Linked DNA regions of Saccharomyces cerevisiae S288C. Changing the gene in region 1 together with any one later gene gives a genetic interaction. Each region holds a gene or a part of one and is shown in the gene's direction. Other genes may lie near its edges. The genes, in order: PUT1, BAT2, PRO3 and PUT2.

The links.
Region 2: mutations in PUT1 (region 1) and BAT2 are lethal when combined (synthetic lethality), as found in Saccharomyces cerevisiae (one study listed by BioGRID).
Region 3: mutations in PUT1 (region 1) and PRO3 impair growth when combined (synthetic growth defect), as found in Saccharomyces cerevisiae (one study listed by BioGRID).
Region 4: of PUT1 (region 1) and PUT2, changing one suppresses a phenotype caused by changing the other (phenotypic suppression), as found in Saccharomyces cerevisiae (one study listed by BioGRID).

Annotation. Positions count from the first base shown.
Region 1 is NC_001144.5:423,295-427,212, forward strand, and holds PUT1 (proline dehydrogenase), read left to right. Parts: upstream 1-1,891; coding exon 1,892-3,322; downstream 3,323-3,918. Other genes in the region: SLS1 (Sls1p), read right to left, coding at 1-179; RRN5 (Rrn5p), read left to right, coding at 389-1,480.
Region 2 is NC_001142.9:703,947-707,517, forward strand, and holds BAT2 (branched-chain-amino-acid transaminase BAT2), read left to right. Parts: upstream 1-1,797; coding exon 1,798-2,928; downstream 2,929-3,571. Other genes in the region: YJR146W (uncharacterized protein), read left to right, coding at 1-292; HMS2 (Hms2p), read left to right, coding at 250-1,326; YJR149W (putative nitronate monooxygenase), read left to right, coding at 3,214-3,571. UniProt on the Saccharomyces cerevisiae protein: Cytoplasmic isozyme of branched-chain-amino-acid aminotransferase, which catalyzes the first reaction in the catabolism of the essential branched chain amino acids (BCAAs) leucine, isoleucine, and valine.
Region 3 is NC_001137.3:199,249-202,706, forward strand, and holds PRO3 (pyrroline-5-carboxylate reductase), read left to right. Parts: upstream 1-1,827; coding exon 1,828-2,688; downstream 2,689-3,458. Other genes in the region: SRB4 (Srb4p), read left to right, coding at 1-1,627; carnitine O-acetyltransferase YAT2, read left to right, coding at 2,944-3,458.
Region 4 is NC_001140.6:180,102-184,214, forward strand, and holds PUT2 (1-pyrroline-5-carboxylate dehydrogenase), read left to right. Parts: upstream 1-1,875; coding exon 1,876-3,603; downstream 3,604-4,113. Other genes in the region: GTPase-activating protein NEL1, read left to right, coding at 1-10; BRL1 (Brl1p), read left to right, coding at 244-1,659; RRF1 (Rrf1p), read left to right, coding at 3,965-4,113.

The DNA of each region.
Region 1 (3,918 bases):
GACGGCCTGTGTCTAGGCTGCTTCTGATCATTTTTCACTAGCCCAGATTGGGTAGGGTTCAAGACGACGAATTTCAGATTTTGCGGCAGTTTCTTCTTCCCATGAAGGGGCGAGCTTGGGCCTGAGCTTGAATAAAGACGGTAAGTAAGACGGGCGAGCTTTTTGTTGAATTTCCACATATGCTTACTCTATATTTTCTCCAGTGCCTTCAAGCTCCGTATATATTATGTACTAGTTTTATTACATTAAAGATACATAACTTTTTTTTTTTTTTTCAGTTCACTGAAATAAGAAAAGGCGGGCGAGGTGAAAAACAAAAAAAAAAGTATAGAGAAACAGAAGTGGAAGAAGAGCTAGGAAAGCACAGCGCATACGACGGTCACCTAGGATGGAGCACCAACAATTGCGGAAGTACGTCGAATTGTACAATAAGGAGGTCGAGGAATTCTACAATGGTGCCGCGTCAGGCCGCCCAGCTGAGTTCCATCCTTCCAAAGTACATGTAAAGAGCATCCATGAAAAGGCGGGTACCGCCAATGCTGGTGTAGAAATCTCTAGCGTTGGTGTAGACTGGGACAGCGAGGAGAAGAATACCTTTTTCTGGTGCCTTTCACGCTATAGTATCCACCGTGTAGACGAGTGGCGCTCATTGTTGCCTCGGAAGAGCGCCATGGAGATTCTAGGTTATTACAGGTTGTTAAGGAGAGCGAGTGCGAGCGCGAGATCGCGTAAGGCGGGTGACGACGGAGCGCCCATTGCGTACGAAATGAGCGCTGAGTGGGTTGCCCTGGAGACAAAACTGAGCGAGACAGTGATGGCCATCACGGAAGGCGCAGCCGAGGTTGCCGATGAGGAAGGACACTGCGAGGGCCTTATCGATTATGAAAGCTGGAAACGCAGGTGGGTGGCCATCTACTCGCACAGCCGTATCGCGGAGATAAGACCCTTGCCCCGCCACGCGCTGCCGCTATCGCGCAGCGCGACGCAGACTTTGGAGCGCTGCGTAAGTCGCTACACACGTACATTGCTGTGGTGCACGGCCCTTGCGGGTATGGCTTCCCGCAGCGTCAGCGCCAGGGCGGCCGAATCTCGAGGACACAAGTCGCTACCGACGGTGGTAACTCGCCGGCAAGTTGAGCGTGCACTATGCACAGAAGCCCGATCACGTGACCTACACGTGCTTCCAAGGCGCATTGTTTTGACACTGCGCAAATGGGAACTAGACTATCCGCGAGAGGGCAAACTGTTCCGCACCAAGGAGATGGCACATCTGTTTCTACAAAGCCAGTTGTCCAGACGGGATGCGCCCCCAGTCCATCAAGACGAAAATCAAGAAAATCAAGAAAATCAAGAAAATCAAGAACAAGATAACACTGCAAGTGAAGGTGAAAGCGAGGCAGAAAGGGATGAAATCGACGAAGCGGACTTGTTCCGATCAGCATTACATGAAAATCAGTTGCTAAAATGGTTATCCAAATGAGACACAATGCGAAAAATCGCGCAGGGACATAATTTTTGTTTTCATTATTCTTTCGCTTATTCCCTCCGTTAGCTCCACCGCTTTTTTGATTGGAATTTCCTTTCGGCAATGGCTTTCCGGTTACCACGCCTCGGGTTTCGCATCCCGAAAAGCATATCTACACAAGAAAAATGAATGATAAACAATTGATGAGTGGCGCTATTTCCCTTATCATCTCATTATTGTACTTAGTATCGTCTATTATCAGGAGAAATCGCATGAACTAAGCCCATTTTCTCACCCTTCTGCCTTCTTATATAAAGCTTGCTGGGAACCGAACACAAACTCCACAAGTCCGTAGCAGCTCTTCTCTTTTGTCTTTTATATATCATAAACATCGCTACATAGTAATAACACTAACGCACGCTAGAAATGATAGCTTCCAAAAGCTCCTTATTAGTTACTAAATCGCGCATACCCTCTCTATGCTTTCCTTTGATAAAGAGGTCCTATGTGTCAAAGACTCCGACACACTCTAACACGGCTGCTAATCTGATGGTTGAAACTCCGGCCGCCAATGCCAACGGCAATAGTGTGATGGCACCTCCTAACTCAATCAATTTTCTACAGACACTTCCCAAGAAGGAACTATTCCAACTGGGATTCATCGGTATTGCGACCTTGAACAGCTTCTTCCTGAACACGATCATTAAGTTGTTCCCTTACATCCCCATCCCAGTAATAAAATTCTTCGTCTCTTCTTTATACTGTGGCGGTGAGAACTTTAAAGAGGTCATCGAATGCGGCAAACGTCTGCAGAAGAGAGGTATATCGAACATGATGCTTTCATTAACTATTGAAAATTCCGAAGGTACAAAGAGTTTGTCCAGTACTCCAGTAGACCAAATTGTCAAGGAAACAATCAGCTCTGTCCACAACATCCTACTGCCCAATATTATTGGCCAGCTGGAATCTAAGCCAATCAATGACATTGCTCCAGGTTATATCGCTCTAAAACCCTCTGCTTTGGTCGATAACCCTCACGAGGTTCTGTACAATTTCAGTAATCCCGCCTACAAGGCTCAAAGGGATCAGCTGATCGAGAACTGCTCTAAGATTACAAAAGAGATTTTTGAACTAAATCAATCTTTGTTAAAGAAGTACCCTGAAAGAAAGGCCCCATTTATGGTTTCCACTATTGACGCTGAGAAGTATGATTTGCAGGAGAATGGTGTTTACGAATTACAGAGAATCTTATTTCAAAAATTCAATCCCACTTCATCTAAACTGATATCATGTGTCGGTACTTGGCAGTTGTACCTAAGGGACTCTGGTGACCATATTTTGCACGAATTGAAGCTGGCCCAAGAAAACGGCTATAAGCTTGGGCTGAAACTGGTTCGTGGTGCTTATATTCATTCTGAAAAAAACCGTAACCAAATTATCTTTGGCGATAAAACGGGCACTGACGAAAATTACGATCGTATCATCACTCAAGTTGTCAATGATTTAATCATCAATGGCGAGGATTCTTATTTTGGTCACTTGGTTGTCGCCTCTCATAATTACCAATCCCAAATGCTCGTTACTAATTTGCTAAAATCTACCCAAGACAACTCTTATGCCAAATCGAACATTGTGTTGGGGCAATTACTAGGTATGGCAGATAATGTTACCTATGACCTAATTACCAACCATGGCGCTAAAAACATAATCAAGTATGTCCCATGGGGCCCACCATTGGAAACTAAAGATTATCTTTTGAGAAGATTGCAAGAAAACGGGGATGCTGTGAGATCTGATAATGGCTGGCCATTAATCAAGGCCATAGCAAAGTCGATTCCAAAAAGAGTAGGCCTATGAGAGGACTATAATATATACTCCAATTTCAAAGACAAACCAAAAAACCAAAAAAAAAAAAAAGTATGCATACATAATTCTGATGTTCTAGTTATACATATTATATATAAGTAATGATAATAACACTAATAGTAAAGTAAACGCACGGATATCAAGAGTTAATATACTTGAACCACTTAAATAACAATCTGTTGGTAAAGCTTTCTTCCTATTGATTATGGGTTCGAATAGTACCAGATGTTTTGCCAATCCTAAATCGGTAGGAAAGTGGCTTGTCGTCGTCAGGCTTATTATCAACTCTTATGCACAAGAAAGGTACTCATCTTCTATAAACTACATAAGACCTGAATCTAATCAAAGGGAGAAAGCGCAGAACATCAGATTTAAAGCGGTTTTGCTTGATACACTCAGCCTTGTCTCTTTGTAAGGATTTTGGGGTACCTATGAATAATACATCTAGTAGTGTTAGTAAACCAACGTATGGGATTTTGGGATACATAGTTTTCCAGTGTTTCTTATCCGTGATAGTTTAATGGTCAGAATGGGCGCTTGTCGCGTGCCAGATCGGGGTTCAATTCCCCGTCGCGGAGAATTTTTTT
Region 2 (3,571 bases), on another chromosome or scaffold:
GGCCTTCCTGGACCCGTCCTTCTTTTACCCGAACTTTGTCGCCCAAAAGGCATCTCATTATAATGACAAAACTGGATCTGCAAATATTTGGACATATATCTCCAGAACGGGCTCACTTCTCCTCTTCACCCAGGTGGTATATAGGAAGAGTAAGTGGACGCATCAGTCCGCGACATTTGCGGACTGTATATATTGCCAGTCAGGGCAGTCGCCAAGTGTGTCTCTTTCGTGTAGCGACGCACGTCAGACATGGATGCAACATCGAGGATGGAGCAGCCTGATGTCTTTGTAAGCAAACTCTACCACCTGCTGCAGGGGAACGCTTACTCGAACATAATACAATGGTCGACTGATGGCAGCAAGCTCGTCATTTGGAATCCGGACCAGTTCACCAAAGTCATCCTAGAGCGATTTTTTGGTATTCACACCTTTGCAGCATTCGTTAAGCAATTGAGCAAATATAACTTCCAGAAGGCGGGCCGCCCGGACTGCGTGGAGTTTTCCAACATTCATTTTCAAAAAGATAACATTAATAGCCTCTCACTGGTTAAAGCTCATCAGTCTGCCGCCACTCCCAATGTCGCCGCCGTCAATAATATGAATAAGCAGTGTACTTTTCACTGGGACCCTTTCAAAGTGAACTCCATTCTAAGCAAGGCCATCGGCAAGCCTTCCTTCGAGAAATTAGTGAAAAATGTTGACAGGCTTCAGGGCAATCTTGATGAGCTTAAGTCGACAAACGCAGATAGTCTGCGTATTATAAGGGAAATTAACGCCAGCTTACAGACAATCTCCTACCACCAGTTTCACGCCTACCAAACCGCTAACTTCCTTCAAGAAAATTTTGAAGCCATCAAAAAGGTTGTATGCCCGGACTCTTGTCTACAACACCAGCAACGCCAACCAAAGCGCCCCAAACGCTACTCGTTGCTGTTACTAATACCAAACGCATCCGAATTGTCAGAAACACCTTTGATGCGCTTCGCCGGCGTGTTCGAATTTATGAACTGCTCTTTGGATACGGCCACTCAGTGGCACCCGCAGTTGCATCCCGAGGCATACGACCTTCTTTTCGTCACCGTGTCGCCCAACATGCAACAAGAACATCTCATCTACTTCAAGAGACTGAGAAACCTACTCCCAAGCTTTCCTGTAATAGCCATTATTAACAGACCCGTCTCCCCTCAAGATACCAGCATTGCTCCCTCCAACTACTCTCGCTATTATTTCCACCATTTTTTGCAGTTGGGGTTCAGTGACATCCTAGTTAGCCCCTTCACCCCAACACAACTTATAACGCTCCTTTCCAAACATCTTCGAACGTGAAAACCTGCCTCTGAGGGTCATTCACGACCTAGCATACCACTATATACGTGTACGATTTTTTTTTTCTGTGACCGCACTACACCAAAGTTTAATGTTCCATTGGCCCCGGAACCATTCTTGCAAACGGCGTTCTTTTTCCGCTTTCGGGTGACACTTAATTTAGCTTCTTTTCCCTCTCTGACACCTCTTGTTATCTAATCTGTAGATCCGACTCTTTTTCTTTTTGGTGTCGTTCTTCTATGTCCGTTTTTCTGTCAACAAAAACGGAAATAATAGGTAGAAATTAAGAGCCGTACGTGAGTGAGAGGAGATCCGAAATGAGCTGACAGTATAACTAATATAAGCTTACAAGATATTCGACTATTTCCTGGGAAAAAATTCATTCCTTTGAGAAATCCTTAATAAAAACAGACTAACTACTAAAATTTTAGAAATTTAAGGGAAAGCATCTCCACGAGTTTTAAGAACGATATGACCTTGGCACCCCTAGACGCCTCCAAAGTTAAGATAACTACCACACAACATGCATCTAAGCCAAAACCGAACAGTGAGTTAGTGTTTGGCAAGAGCTTCACGGACCACATGTTAACTGCGGAATGGACAGCTGAAAAAGGGTGGGGTACCCCAGAGATTAAACCTTATCAAAATCTGTCTTTAGACCCTTCCGCGGTGGTTTTCCATTATGCTTTTGAGCTATTCGAAGGGATGAAGGCTTACAGAACGGTGGACAACAAAATTACAATGTTTCGTCCAGATATGAATATGAAGCGCATGAATAAGTCTGCTCAGAGAATCTGTTTGCCAACGTTCGACCCAGAAGAGTTGATTACCCTAATTGGGAAACTGATCCAGCAAGATAAGTGCTTAGTTCCTGAAGGAAAAGGTTACTCTTTATATATCAGGCCTACATTAATCGGCACTACGGCCGGTTTAGGGGTTTCCACGCCTGATAGAGCCTTGCTATATGTCATTTGCTGCCCTGTGGGTCCTTATTACAAAACTGGATTTAAGGCGGTCAGACTGGAAGCCACTGATTATGCCACAAGAGCTTGGCCAGGAGGCTGTGGTGACAAGAAACTAGGTGCAAACTACGCCCCCTGCGTCCTGCCACAATTGCAAGCTGCTTCAAGGGGTTACCAACAAAATTTATGGCTATTTGGTCCAAATAACAACATTACTGAAGTCGGCACCATGAATGCTTTTTTCGTGTTTAAAGATAGTAAAACGGGCAAGAAGGAACTAGTTACTGCTCCACTAGACGGTACCATTTTGGAAGGTGTTACTAGGGATTCCATTTTAAATCTTGCTAAAGAAAGACTCGAACCAAGTGAATGGACCATTAGTGAACGCTACTTCACTATAGGCGAAGTTACTGAGAGATCCAAGAACGGTGAACTACTTGAAGCCTTTGGTTCTGGTACTGCTGCGATTGTTTCTCCCATTAAGGAAATCGGCTGGAAAGGCGAACAAATTAATATTCCGTTGTTGCCCGGCGAACAAACCGGTCCATTGGCCAAAGAAGTTGCACAATGGATTAATGGAATCCAATATGGCGAGACTGAGCATGGCAATTGGTCAAGGGTTGTTACTGATTTGAACTGAAGTATCGCTATTGCTACGTAAAGTAATTAAAAGTTAAAAAGAATAAAACTAGAGCGTTTTTTCTACTGAGTTAAGGGGTCATGTCAGAATATAACATACCCTTTGACATTGTATATATGAATTCCTGGATTTTGCAGTGATCTGATAAAAAATGTATGTCGAAACCTGCAATTATCCTTTCGTTTTTTTTCTTGTCATCTAGTGCTGGCCTATCGGTATCAAGGACATCTTTTGCGCGGATAGAAAAGGGCCCATACATACCTTAGAAGCAACTCAAGACAATTCATGTACTTTTTAAACCAACTAATATTTCAAGACGTTTCCGTAATGTCGGTGGATAAAAGAGAAGATATGAGCAGATCTTTCCAAAAATGTTTAAACTTGAGATACCCTATCATCCAGGCCCCTATGGCGGGGGTCACGACTATTGAAATGGCCGCTAAGGCTTGTATTGCGGGCGCCATAGCTTCACTACCCCTATCCCACTTAGACTTCAGAAAGGTCAATGATATTGAAAAGCTTAAACTGATGGTTTCACAATTCAGAGATCAAGTAGCCGATGAATCTTTAGAGGGCAATCTCAACCTAAACTTTTTTTGCCATGATATCGTTGATAAACCGACCGATCTTCAAACAGCTAACT
Region 3 (3,458 bases), on another chromosome or scaffold:
TGATGGCGCTGATGAGAATGTACAAATTGGAGAAGATTTCATGGAAGTGGATTATGAAGATAAAGATAATCCAGTGGATTCACGAAATGAAACAGACCACAAAACGAATGAAAATGGCGAGACCGATGATAATATTGAAACGGTAATGACACAGGAACAGTTTGTTAAAAGAAGGAGGGATATGCTAGAGCATATAAATCTGGCCATGAACGAATCGTCTTTGGCTTTGGAATTCGTTTCTTTGCTACTGTCGAGTGTTAAAGAGTCTACAGGTATGTCATCAATGTCACCATTTCTTAGGAAAGTTGTTAAACCTTCTAGTTTAAACAGTGATAAAATTCCATATGTTGCACCTACAAAAAAAGAATATATCGAGTTGGATATATTGAATAAGGGATGGAAGTTACAAAGTTTAAACGAATCTAAAGATCTCCTACGCGCAAGTTTTAATAAACTGAGTTCCATATTACAGAACGAACATGACTATTGGAATAAGATAATGCAGAGTATTAGCAACAAGGATGTTATTTTTAAGATTAGGGACAGGACTAGTGGTCAAAAGCTGTTGGCAATTAAGTATGGTTACGAAGACTCTGGATCTACCTATAAGCATGACAGAGGTATTGCTAATATAAGGAATAATATAGAATCACAAAATTTGGATTTGATACCCCACAGTAGTTCAGTGTTCAAAGGCACTGATTTCGTACATTCAGTAAAGAAATTCTTAAGGGTTCGTATCTTCACAAAAATCGAATCAGAAGATGATTACATATTGAGTGGCGAAAGTGTGATGGATAGGGATAGTGAAAGTGAAGAAGCTGAAACGAAAGATATCAGAAAGCAAATCCAACTTTTGAAAAAGATCATTTTTGAAAAAGAACTGATGTACCAAATAAAGAAAGAATGCGCTTTGTTGATTTCCTATGGTGTCAGTATTGAAAACGAAAACAAGGTAATAATTGAACTACCTAACGAAAAATTTGAAATCGAGTTGTTGTCCCTTGACGATGACTCCATTGTCAATCATGAACAAGACTTACCAAAAATCAACGACAAGAGAGCAAATTTAATGCTTGTTATGTTGAGACTATTATTAGTCGTTATATTCAAGAAAACATTACGATCGAGAATAAGCTCACCCCACGGACTGATCAATTTGAATGTTGACGATGATATCTTAATAATACGTCCCATTCTTGGTAAAGTTCGGTTTGCTAATTACAAACTGTTACTAAAAAAAATCATAAAGGATTACGTGCTCGATATAGTTCCTGGCTCAAGTATAACAGAAACGGAAGTTGAGAGAGAACAACCTCAAGAAAATAAAAACATTGATGATGAAAATATAACTAAATTAAATAAAGAGATCCGTGCCTTCGATAAACTATTGAATATACCTAGACGTGAACTCAAAATAAATCTACCATTAACTGAGCACAAAAGCCCTAATCTAAGTTTAATGCTCGAAAGTCCTAACTATTGTAACGCACTCATTCACATCAAGTTTTCAGCTGGTACGGAAGCCAACGCAGTGTCCTTTGACACAACATTTTCTGATTTTAAAGAAGTAGAGGACTTCCTACATTTTATTGTCGCTGAGTACATCCAGCAAAAGAAGGTGTAATATCCTGAGTCACTCCTTAAACCTACATACATTGCCATAGAATGCCATTTATTACTATATAAAGTCGCATACGTACAAAAGGACAAGATCTTATCTTCGAAAACAAGAATATGAAGGATTTAATAACATTGCCAGGTTAAGAACGGTGTAACAACAATAGAAGTAACACAACACCAATAGCAAACAAACCAACTACAGATATGACTTACACATTGGCAATTTTAGGCTGCGGTGTTATGGGCCAAGCACTTCTTTCCGCCATTTATAATGCTCCAAAGGCGGCTGATGAAACTGCTGCTGCATTTTACCCTTCCAAAATTATCACATGTAACCATGATGAACCTAGTGCACAACAAGTTACCGATCTAGTTGAGACATTCGACGAATCTCCTAACGGTATTAAAGTCGAAAGCACTTACGGTCACAACGTGAGCGCTGTCGAAGAAGCTTCTGTAGTTCTTCTTGGTACCAAGCCATTTTTGGCCGAAGAAGTGTTGAATGGTGTGAAGAGCGTCATTGGGGGAAAGCTACTTATTTCCCTGGCTGCTGGCTGGACAATTGACCAATTGAGTCAATACACTAGCACTGTTTGCCGTGTTATGACGAACACACCTGCCAAGTACGGATATGGTTGTGCGGTGGTGTCCTACTCAGCTGATGTTTCCAAAGAGCAAAAGCCACTGGTCAACGAATTGATTAGCCAAGTTGGTAAATACGTTGAGCTTCCAGAAAAGAACATGGATGCTGCTACGGCTTTAGTCGGTTCAGGCCCCGCTTTTGTTCTCTTGATGTTAGAATCCTTGATGGAGAGTGGGTTGAAATTGGGAATCCCATTACAAGAGAGTAAGGAGTGTGCCATGAAAGTTCTAGAAGGAACAGTGAAGATGGTTGAGAAAAGCGGTGCTCATCCATCCGTTTTAAAGCATCAAGTTTGCACACCAGGTGGTACAACTATTGCCGGGTTGTGCGTAATGGAAGAAAAGGGCGTCAAGAGCGGTATTATCAATGGTGTTGAAGAGGCAGCCCGTGTTGCGTCACAATTAGGCCAAAAGAAGAAATAGATTGCTTTGCGTGAAATGTATGTATGTTCGCTTTGTAGCCGTATATTATTTTTTTATTACTGACCTTGCATTTTTTCGTCATTTTCCCGTCGGTCCGATAATGAATCATCACGATGAATGACTACCCCATAATAATGACACTAATTGGAGCGTATAAAAGAAAAAAATTATATAAATGTGTTTGTAATGAGTAAGAGCAATTGATTCATTTGAAATGAAAATCAAAAATCAAAATTAAAATAAAACTAAGCAACCATGTCAAGCGGCAGTACTATTGTTTCGTCTGACAAGTCGGGGCGAACATTTAAGCATGAGGAAGAACTACCCAAGTTACCATTACCTAAACTCTGTGACACTTTGCAGCGTCTGAAGGAGAGTTTAGAGCCATTGTATTATGCTGATGGTTACTATCAACATCCTTTAGATCCAGAACAAATTGAGAAGCTGTCATCCATAATAAGAGATTTTGAAGAGAATCCCGTAAGTGAGAAGCTGCAATCTAAACTACAGAGCTACCATGACACTAGGGATTGCTACCTTGATGAATTACACTTAGACATCAATAACCAGACCTCCACTAGGGAGATTCAGGACGATGTCCTACCCAGGAATCCCTTCTTGGTTCTCGCAGATGACGCTTTGCCAAACATCACTCAAGCTGATAGGTCAGCCGTCCTAGTGCACTCTGCGGCCAGGTTTATTTCTGCTTTGAAACAAGATTTGTTGCCACCAGATATCAATGCCACCAATGGCAAACCACTGTCAATGGC
Region 4 (4,113 bases), on another chromosome or scaffold:
AAGCAAATAACTCGCTAAATATTCTTGCTGCACTTTGCGACGCCTGTATTGGCGAAAACAAAAAGTAAAGAAAAAAAAACTTTAGATGAAATAGAGCAAAATTCCCTAAGACAATAGAAGATACAAAAGCAAGTTGGGCCCTTAATTTCATCAAAGGTATAGCATCTCATCAAATAGTCGCTTGTTTATCGCAATACTTGCTTATTGAGTAGTTGTATTATAACGTTATATAGGATCTTCCATATGGAAAGTTTTGAAAATTTGAGCATAAGAGACAGTTTCACTAGCGGAATGGAACACGTTGACGAGGAGTTAGGAGGCCTCTCCGACCTAAGTATATCTAAGCAGGGGCCAACTTTGTCACCACAGCTTATCAACCGATTTATGCCCCATTTTCCCTCGAGCCCATCACCTCTGCGAAATACATTGGATTTTAGTGCTGCTAAAGCTGATGAGGAAGAAGATGACCGAATGGAAATAGATGAGGTTGATGATACAAGTTTTGAAGAAGAATATAATAACGAGCCAATCGAAACTCATACTGAAGCGACTGAGAATGCCGTGGTGGAAGAAATCGAGGCTACCCCAGAAGAAAGACAAAAGCAAGAGAAGAATGAAAGCCAAGACCAAAGTGTAGAAGAGGTCGAGAACATTGTTTCACCGCATCGTTCAACTGTCATAAAGGCATTATTATCACCGACCGATTTAGGTGTGGCCGCAGCTACTAAAGTTGAAGGTGTTGTGCCATTACCACCATCGGCCAATCAAGATGACAATGAAAGTTCGAATAACAACGCAGAGGGTGAAGACATAATCAGAAATGAAGAAGTCGAAGATGAGATCAAATCATCACTTGGCAACCACAAGTCAAGCCAGTACGCAAATGCGTTCGATTCGGAAATAATCAAGAGGGAATTAAGATCAAGATCAAAATATCAACCAATTCAGGTTTCATTCAATACACACAACTACTTCTATTCAGATAAGGACGGCATTAAAACTTATTCTCTTACTAAACCAAATCACAATAAAATAGATGAATTTTACGACCAAAATGAAGCTTTCAAGTTGCCTAAACCATGGTCACCCAATTCACATCCGGCATCAAGAGCGTCATATGCCCTAATGTCATATTTACAGTTATTTCTCAATGCGATCACTACAGTAGTGATTTTTAGTTTTATACTCTCATTTATCATAGCGCTTCAAAAGGACTTGAAATCCACATGGGAACAAAGAAAACATGAACTGCAGTACGAATCCAGAATTTGTCAAGAGCAGTACCTCACAAATCGTTGTAACCAGACGCCTGGCTTGCCGGCTCTGGGCGAACAATGTGCTATATGGAAACAGTGTATGGACAGAAATAACGATATCTTTTTCCGTGCAAGATCAACGTTGAGCGCAAAATTGTTCGGAGACATTATCAACTCATTCATAGATCCATTAAACTGGAAAACACTATTTGTTATTTTTTGTGGTGTGATAACTTGGTGTTTCAGTTCGAATTTCTTACTGGGTTTTGTAAGAGCCAAGAGCTACTATGGCAATGGCATCAAAACATATCCCTTGCCATCTTCACCGAAATCGCCGACATCAGAAGAAACACACTCATCTATGACAGCATCTGGAGAGGACTCACACCTACTTAAGCAATAGATTGTGCTATCTGGGACAGTAACAATGCTTATCTACGCCATCGGACATCTCGGGAAGCCAACTCCGAAGCCGACAAAAATTGGATAGGCCTACTATATAAGGGTGACAGGACAGCTGACTTTACTCCAGAAGTATATCCATGGAAAATATGTAATAATACAAACAAGTTAATATAATCTATATTGTATAGAAGGCCAATTCAAATTCACAGGAATTATGCTATCAGCAAGGTGCCTCAAATCTATATACTTCAAGAGATCTTTCTCACAACTGGGACACATCAAGCCCCCCAAGCACATAAGAAATGAACCTGTTAAGCCATTTAGAAACATAGACTTAAAAGACTGGGACTTACTGAGGGCTTCCTTGATGAAATTCAAAAGTTCTTCTTTAGAAGTGCCACTGGTCATCAATGGGGAAAGGATATATGACAATAATGAAAGAGCGCTTTTCCCGCAGACTAACCCTGCGAACCATCAACAAGTACTGGCAAACGTCACACAAGCCACGGAAAAAGATGTCATGAATGCTGTAAAAGCCGCCAAGGATGCCAAAAAGGATTGGTACAATCTACCGTTTTATGACAGATCTGCAATTTTTTTGAAAGCCGCTGACTTAATTTCCACCAAGTATCGTTATGACATGTTAGCTGCTACAATGCTGGGCCAGGGAAAAAATGTGTATCAGGCAGAAATCGACTGTATCACGGAATTATCTGACTTTTTTAGATACTATGTCAAGTATGCATCAGACTTGTATGCTCAACAACCCGTAGAGTCAGCGGATGGTACTTGGAATAAAGCTGAATACAGACCTTTAGAGGGATTTGTGTATGCTGTTTCACCATTCAACTTTACTGCTATTGCTGCAAACTTGATTGGGGCTCCAGCTTTGATGGGTAATACAGTTGTCTGGAAACCTTCACAAACCGCTGCCCTTTCAAATTACTTATTGATGACTGTTTTGGAAGAAGCGGGATTGCCAAAGGGTGTCATAAATTTCATTCCAGGTGATCCAGTTCAAGTTACTGACCAGGTATTAGCTGATAAAGATTTTGGTGCCTTGCATTTTACCGGTTCTACAAATGTCTTTAAGAGTTTGTATGGCAAAATACAAAGTGGCGTTGTTGAAGGGAAGTACAGAGATTACCCCCGTATTATTGGTGAGACAGGTGGTAAAAATTTCCATCTAGTTCACCCAAGTGCAAATATATCACATGCAGTACTCTCTACTATTAGAGGCACTTTCGAGTTCCAAGGCCAAAAGTGCTCTGCCGCTTCCAGGTTATATCTTCCAGAGTCAAAAAGTGAAGAATTCTTATCCGATATGTTTGGCATATTGCAGTCACAGAATGTTGTCCCAATGAACACATCCGCAAGTCCAATTTCTGGTGGGAATTTGCGGGGATTTATGGGTCCTGTCATCCATGAACAAAGTTTCGACAAATTAGTTAAAGTAATTGAAGATGCAAAGAAAGACCCCGAGTTGGAAATTCTTTACGGTGGACAATACGATAAAAGCCAAGGTTGGTTTGTCGGACCCACAGTCATAAAAGCCAAGAGACCAGATCATCCATATATGTCAACAGAATTTTTTGGCCCTATATTAACTGTTTACGAGTATCCAGATACTGAATTTAATGAAATCTGTGATATTATCGATAATACGAGTCAATACGCCTTAACTGGTGCTATTTTTGCCAAAGATCGTAAAGCAATTGAATACGCAGATGAGAAGTTGAAGTTTAGCGCAGGAAATTTCTACATAAATGATAAGTGTACTGGTGCCGTTGTTTCTCAGCAATGGTTTGGTGGCGCAAGAATGAGTGGTACCGACGATAAGGCTGGTGGTCCAAACATTTTAAGCAGATTTGTCAGTATTAGAAACACAAAGGAGAACTTCTACGAGTTGACTGATTTCAAATATCCATCGAATTATGAATAAAAAAATTTTTGTGGAATAGAACCGCGAATGCAGTCACTTCATCCATCAACTCATGTAAATGTTAGATTATCGAAAAAAGGGTTTTGATTACTTCATTAGGTTTTTTTAGTTTTACAATTTTAATTTATCTAGGTAAATAGTTTAAAAATATTCATTGAACCAACCGTCCAAATTCCCGTTCTATATTCTGTCATGACTTACTTATTCACGTTGCTATTTATTCGCCGCATATTCATTCTGTTTTTGGCATAAGGACCCGTCCGGAAACAGAACATCAATTTATTAAATACGTCCATTCGTAAGCTTAAAGATGGAAACTTTGGCGAGCAGTCCCTGACAAGAAAAATAACAGCAAGAAATAATGATTTTAACCACAGCTAGATTAAATTGTAGACCAGTCACCGTTCCTCGTCTATTTAATCGTTCTTTTAGTCAATCTTTCATAATTTTGAAGAAAAAAAGTTCTACCCCTACTGAGAAAGTCGAAGAAGATGAAATTGACGTGAATGA